Linked DNA regions of Rattus norvegicus. The protein of the gene in region 2 binds, or shares a complex with, the protein of the main gene of each other region. Links are inferred from orthologs where the notes say so. Each region holds a gene or a part of one and is shown on either strand. Other genes may lie near its edges.

Region 1 (3,011 bases), on a different chromosome or scaffold from region 2:
CAATTTACATTTTTCTATGCTTTCAACTCTCAGATAGATTCTCACTGTGTAGCCCAGGCTGGCCGCAAACATTCGATCCTAGCCTAAGCTATAACTACAAAAACATGCACCTCAACATCTGGCTCTCATTCACTTTTTTCCTGCCTAGTTATAATTTAGTTTGTTTGTTGGTTGGTTGATGGGTTTTAAGTTAGAGCATTTCAGTTTTATAGAGTATAAATAGATTCAGATCCTGGAGTGGTTCTGGTATACATTGATTGACTATTAGATGAATGGGCAATCAGTCTCTTAGAAAGAAAAGCAAAAGGAAGCCATGTGTTCATAACGCCTTTATGCATTGCAGGATAGCAGGTAAGAATCCACATATGGAAATCAATGACAACAATTGGTTCGAGCTTGCCGACAGACGTGACCATCAGAATAACAGTCCACTGGAGGTATTGTAAATCTTACTTCCCTAAAGTGTGAGCCACCCACCAGCTTTCCATTGGTTCATTAACTGCTGATCTTTTGTTTAAAACATATCCTCACTGCCCAAGATGCCTCTTTGGGACTTGATAGAAAAATCCAACTGATATTTAACTTTAATGTCTTCTCAAAAAGATATTACTTCTTAACTTTAATCTTGTCTAAAAAATGATATCATTTCTTTGTTATATTACAGATGTTCAAGTGCTATAGCCTGGAGTGCCTCCAGTTGATCCCTTTATGATGGAGTTTGATGTGCTAGAGCACTCCCCTGTTTTGACTGAGTCTGTTTATTTAGTTAATTTAATTTTTAAACTTCTCTGTGAGCTGGTCTTACAGCAAAGAGAAGCAAGTCAGGCAAACTGGGATAAGTGTGATGGGAACATCCCGGGCAGTCTCATCCAGTGTCTGAGCCAGTGTCCACTTTCACTGTTATGACGGTCCACAACAATTCAATCTTACTGAAACTCTTCAGCGATATTCTGGATTGAATATTTAAGCTCCGCAGTTCTTACCAAGCTTCCTCGAGTTCTCAGAGGAGCCCACAGTGCAAAACATTAAGAATCACATGAAAAAGTAAAGTAGATTCCGTGTTTCCTTTGCAATCTTTCTCCTTAGTGTTCCAAAATGCTTGACATAGGACCCTCCTTACCAGCGTGCTCTGGCTGGCGGTCTTCACAAGAGTTGCATTCTGCTCAGAGCAAAACAGCTTGCTGTCTTCCCATGTTAGGTTACGCCTGAAGAACCCATAGCAACTGTCTCCATGGTATCTCCACTTTGTGGCGCAGGGGCTGCACTTGTGCTCTGAAGGTGAGACCGAGGATGGGGCTGTCAAAAATCTGGCCAAAGCTTTTCCCACCTGCAGCATTCCTGCTCCGGTGGGCCTCCCTCTAGTTACCGTGACAGATGTGTGCTGCACATCAGAGATGTTTCCAAGCCAGACTTACCAAAAGAGCTCTTAGTCTTAATTTCTGATTGTCTAATCAACTCCTGGCAGAATTTCTTGGCCAATTGTTGCAGAGTGGCTGAGAGATTTTCCTTTTCGGCCAGTAGATATTTTTGTTGTGTGACTGCTAGATGTAGAGATGAGATAAATTATACCTGGGTCTCAAGGTCAGAAAGATAATGGCAGGATTCTTGTGTGAACTTTCATGTCTATAAACCTGCCGGTAGCTAAAGAGTTCACCAGATACAAAAACTCAATGAATACTGAAAAAGGAAATTAAAAGGGCTGCGTAAAGAGCGTGGGAATCGACTGGCTATGAGAGTCCCGAGGTGAGAACACGTGACTGAGGCAGCTGTTTCAATATTTCCTGGACAGGTTTCTAAGCAGGCTTTATAGTGATGAGAAGCCTTGTGTTTTGTATTCTGTTCTAAATATAACACTGAATTTTCCTAAAAATGTATGTTTGGATGACTATTCTAACTATGTAGAACAGTGGTTCTGAACCTGTAGGTTGTAACCCATTGGGTCAAACAACCCTTTCACAGAGGTGGCATATCAGATATACTGCATATCAAATATTTACATTATCATTCATCACAGTAGCAAAATTACAGTTAGGAAGTAGCAATGAACATAATTTCATGGTTGGAGGTTACTATAGTTAAAGGGTCGAAGCATTAGGAAGGCTGAGAACCCCTTGGATAGAAATTCAGGTAGATACATACATAGACTTTGCAGTCTGATTAGCTTTGCTGCCTGGTTTCTTATTTCCAAGTTCCTTATGAAACATTTTAAATTAAGAAAAGTAATGTTACAATGTTTAAAATGCTTTCAGATCCATGTAAACAACATAAGGAATAAGGGACTCTAAAATGTATTTAAAGCAGGAAGATAAACAAATTAGCAACACAAATTATGACATGACCTTATAAAGTTTTATTATTAGAAAGTCATGATCAGAAAACCAATGTGTCAGTAAATAAAATGGGATGGAGTGGATTTTATATAGATAGACTAGAACAAGCAAGATTTCATATAGGAAGACACAGGCTTTATTTTTGAAATTAGGAAAATTCTAGATTGCTCAGGCCTCAGATTAAGCAAGGCAGAGAGGGAGAAAGATAGCTTGGATCCATAGTAAGGAGGAATCTTAAATGCCAGCAATACATTCTGAAAGTAATTTTAACTAAAGAAAAAAACTAAAGGTGATTTGAATAAGAGCAGGGGGAGGGGGAGGGGAGGTCTCTCCCTTCTGAGTTTTCACCCTATGAGGCTATGTCCACAGCAGTGTTCAGGACAATCAGAATAGGTGACAAACAGAGGAGCAAAAACATTTAGGAAGCTTAGTATAGTACACCAGGAACTCGTGGCTATTGTTTTCCTTGGATCAAAACCCTGGCAAGGAGCCAGTACTTACACATGATCCCCAGAGCCACGAGTCCAGCAACCAGCCCCATGGTTGAGATCAGCAGAATTAAAGCCGTCAAACGCCACCAAGAAGAGGCAGGCTCAGCTGTGGAAGGACAGAAAAGACGCAAGCAGAAGACTGTCAGGCTATCCTGGGCATCTCAGGATTATCTAAGTATCGTAAACACTA
Region 2 (4,323 bases):
ATTCTAGTATAGGGAGTGTGTAATTTTTTTTTAATTCATGTTTGCAAGTGAACTCCATCTGCAGTATCAAGTTCAGTCATCTTTTTTTTTCCCCTTAAGGTCAATCATAGTAAAAGGCTTGACTTACTTTCTAAATCACGGTCCCAGCAGCTTCTGAGTTAAGAGGGTATAATTTACAGGAGTGGTAGGGATTAAATGAGGTAAGCTGTGACATTCCTAGAATGTGGTGGGGGATGGAAAGGCAAAGAGGTGGGGGTGTCCCGCCCACTAGTCGGGGCCATTCTCCCTCAAGACTTGGGTCTGTCCGTGTCCCAGTGCCAAGTCAATGGTGGGCTGTGTTTTGTCTTTCTTGTTGGTTGTGGCTACACTCAGCCCTCTGCTGCTCTACACACATTAGACGTTTCCCTCCCTCTGAACTTGGTTTGGGATCGTAAGCCCCAGCTCCCCCCACAGAAACTCAAACAGAACCAGCTTTATTCAAGGCCTCCTTGGCCACATAAGCTCTCAGCAGCTTGTGAGGATTCCAGGGCCCCCGAAACTGGCAAGAACTTCAGGGAAATCACAGGATGATTCCTTTGCCACGTGATTAATCCTGCTCTGACTGGTCCCGGAAAGAGCACACATGGGTTAGCGAGAGCACCGTGGGTTAGCGGCAAGCGGCAGCTTGTGGAATTGTATAAAAAGCAATGTCTAACGGGGAAGTCCTGGGGTACCGGCTCTGGATGAAAGTTCAGAGTGAGGGTGGGGCCGGGCAAGGGGGGAGGGCGATGCCAGATGAGAGGACACAGGCCTTGTTAAAGTCCACTTCGGAGGTTGCAAGGGGGGTTGGATTATAAGTCAGTATGGTGCACGACTGTAACAGAAGAATTAGCACGCCACAATCACCCCCCGACACAATCACCCCCGGTCTGGCTCCCCAGTAATAGCTTAACTCAATGGAGTTACTCATCCATATTCATTAGTCTCAGACAAAAACACTGCAGGCTCAACCTTGCAGCAGGGCAGCCTGCAAACAACTGGCCACATGGCCGTCCCTCTGGACATCCCGTTACCAAGCCTCTTTCTTCTGTTATGCAGTTTCTGGTATAACTGAGGGATGACGCCTTTCTAGACAAGACCAAATACCAGCTACATTTTAGGAGCACTCTACCCTGCCTTAGGAGGATGTTAGCCAGCCTCTGGCTTTCCTAGGATGTGGTTTGGGGTGGGTGCCTCCCCTCGATTTGCGCTGGTGAGTGAAAAGTCATGTTCTTAACGTGCACTGTCTCGCCACCGCGGAAATGGAACCGAAATACAGAACTGTATATATATCCTAGCGCGAGGAGAAGTTTCAAAGATAGGACTGCCGGGAATAGCCCCGAGCACCATTAAAGAATAGCTTCGTCTCTTTGAAGCAGACAACCCCACCCAATGCACTCTATATAATTTCCCTAACACTAGGTAGGTGTTGTCTGTGGAGAATTATAGAAGCCTAGGCTAGCTAGGCCCACCCATCTCACACAGACCGCTCCTTCGAAGACCGCTAGAGCCTTCAATCGGTATTTACTGAGCAAGTGCCACTGTCAGATGATGCTTTGGCCCCGGGATCGAGGTTAGAGCTTAGATTCCACCAGCGAAACACACACAACTTAAAACGTCCAGGCAAGAAATAAAAATAATGGGGACCGGTCCCAGATCCCAGCCATACATCACAGCAGACAGAGGAACGGAAGACAGAAGAGGAGGATCTGATGGTGGTCCCCACCATTCCGTTTCTTTCTAGTCAGGGTCTTAAAAGTCTGGGCCGGTTTCAAACCCCTCATGCCCCTTGAAAGGCTCCCATCACACAGTTGAGCATCACTATACTGGTTTTTATACTTGCTGGGGATGGAACAGGGGAGCGTCATGCGTGCAAAGTAAGGACTCGGCCAACTGAACTACATGCTCAAGCTCCACTGGTCTTTTATTAACACTAATTCAGCCTTTGAGTCCTTGGCCAAGTTCAATACATGCCCTTCAGTGCTCACAGCAACCCTCCAGGTTAGGGGGGTACATTCAGTGGCGTTCTAGCAGGCTGGACGCCCTGGGTTCCAGTGCAGGGGTTTGGGGAGGAAGAAAGAACGAGGCAGACAACAAGGGTGCTATAAAGGCAGCAGTGTGCGGTTCAAGCTGTGGTTCAATCTATTTCACCGCCCCTTCCAGCTACCACCCTAATTTGCGAAGACTCTTCAGGTCTGTCCCCAGTTAGGGTGTGACCCCGAGTTCTAACCTATGCTCTCCTGTCCCTAGTTTTCAGAGACACTAACCATTCCGCTAACGCACTGCTCTTTGGGCCAGTCCAGTCGCCCTTGGCGTCACCCTCCCATCCCGGACCATTAGACCCCCCCCCGGGGGGGGGTAAGGGCCATTCTGTACTCCTATCACCTGTGGATCCCGATTCTACTGCCACACCCACTGGGCTGTTCCCGGGGACTCTTCTAAGCCCCATCTAAGCTGCCCCACCGCTCTCCCCGGCACCTCCAGATCCCAGGCCCAAGCAACCCCCGCCTCCCTCCATCCCCATCAGCAAGTGCGGGGTTGCCAATCAGGCGTGGCGCTTACCTCCCTGCGCTGAGTCCCAGAACCAAACGCTCCCCAAAACCCAGAGCAACACTGGCGCGGTCCACATCTTGATCTCGTTGGAGCCTCAGCAGCTAGTGGTTTTTGTGGGTTGTGAAAAGATGAAAAAACAAAAAAACTTCGAAGCCACAGGCCCAGCCGAGAAGAGCTCTGGAGGAGGCTGGCAAGCGGTGAGCAAGAGTCCCAGCGACAGAGAGTGCCCGGGCTTTCAATGCGAGCGGAGGGAGCAAGCACAGCAAACTTGGCAACTGGCAACTTCTCAGCACAGTCGGCAATTTATGTCTCCAGTACGGGGGCGGGGGCGGGTGGGCGTCAGGTGGTCCCGGAGATCTAGGACCGCCCCCGAATTCTGTTTGGCCAGCATCACAAGATGACCTCAGGCCAGGTTTAAAGTTACAGGGCCTCAGCCACTGGGGGCCCAGCCCAGGCCAAAAAAAAAAAAAAAAAAAAAGCGTTTGACTTTGTTCCACTACAGGAGAAGGGGGGTAGGGGGGACAGATGCAATACACAGTTCTGTTTTACAATTTTTATTTATTTTTCTACTATCTTTACTATTCTGCTTTGAAGGGCAAGGCACACGACTTAGGTTTTCTTGTTACTGGGCAGAAGGGAGACTCACACAGTGGCCTGTGCGGCTGGTTTTATGGTTTTAGGACGACGCATTGGCTTTTTAATTTTTTTGTAAATATTGAATCTGATGGTTTAAGGAAAACAGCCGTTGTTTGTGTGAGTCTGAGGCGGCTCGCGTTAATTAACTGAGCCCTCATCCAGGGCACGTGGATGCATGGATGGTGGGGTGCCTGTCCTCCCACAGCTGGCCCCCAGTGCAGTACTTGGCTTTGTGAGGTACTTGTCTGGGTGGGGTGTTTGACCTTGAAGAGTTCTTGGCCCTAGCGACTTACACAGATTTGAAAGGCAGAGCACATGAGACCTCCTGATACTGGGACACTGTGGCTTCACCTGGAGACGGGAGCAGCTGTGTCACCTGACTAGCAGCCACTCACCTGGAACTAAGAGTTCAGCTCATCTATTTTAATCCTAGGGTTTAGCTGGTAATGCCCCGTCTCTTGGTTAAAAAAAAAAAAAAATCCTTCCTTGCTCTCAGGTAGTGGGTATAAGCAAGTGTTCCCTTCTAACCTGCTGGAACTTAAGAGCAGGGTTGGGGGTGGTCTCGGCTCCACTCCCAGATGCCATAAATTCCTTTCGACAAAAGCATCTGAAGATTCCCCCCCCCCCCAATTCCCCACTCCCAGAGAAGGCTTAGTCATCAAGCCTAGTGACTTGAGTTCTATGCTCTGAACCCACAATGGTGAAATGAGAGACCTGATTCCTGAATGTTGCCCTCTGACCAGACAGCTCACACATGTACACACACACACACAGACACACACAGACACACACACACAGACACACACACACACACAATGTAAAAAAAAAAAATAAGTTGGGGCTGGGGATTTAGCTCAGTGGTAGAGCGCTTACCTAGGAAGCGCAAGGCCCTGGGTTCGGTCCCCAGCTCCAAAAAAAAAAAAAAAAAAAGTTACAGAGAGCTTAACAATGAATGTTCCCTAAGAGTCCCCATGAAGATGCATGCATGTGTGCACTTGTGTGTGGGCACCCATGGCCTGGTTGGTGTGTGTGTGTGTGTGTGTGTGTGTGTGTGTGTGTGTGTGTGTGTGTGTGTGTGATTATCAGAGGACAGCTTTGTAGAGCCGGCTCTCTCCT

The links. Proteins that work in one complex are often made in the same cells at the same time.
Region 1: the proteins of Pdpn (region 2) and Clec1b are in contact, whole or in part, in a crystal structure (PDB 3WSR), measured with the Homo sapiens proteins. The link is inferred for Rattus norvegicus from reciprocal best matches to the Homo sapiens genes PDPN and CLEC1B. Residues at the interface, in NP_006465.4 of Homo sapiens: Ala46, Glu47, Asp48, Asp49, Val50; in NP_001380271.1 of Homo sapiens: Arg107, Phe116, Arg118, Arg152, Thr153, His154, Leu155, Arg157.

The regions. Positions count from the first base shown.
Region 1 is NC_086022.1:164,537,109-164,540,119, reverse strand, and holds part of Clec1b (C-type lectin domain family 1 member B), read right to left. Parts: intron 2,928-3,011; coding exon 2,832-2,927; intron 1,542-2,831; coding exon 1,416-1,541; intron 1,273-1,415; coding exon 1,121-1,272; intron 1-1,120. UniProt on the Homo sapiens protein: C-type lectin-like receptor that functions as a platelet receptor for the lymphatic endothelial marker, PDPN.
Region 2 is NC_086023.1:160,916,076-160,920,398, forward strand, and holds the start of Pdpn (podoplanin precursor), read right to left. Parts: upstream 2,885-4,323; 5' UTR 2,648-2,884; coding exon 2,581-2,647; intron 1-2,580. UniProt on the Homo sapiens protein: Mediates effects on cell migration and adhesion through its different partners.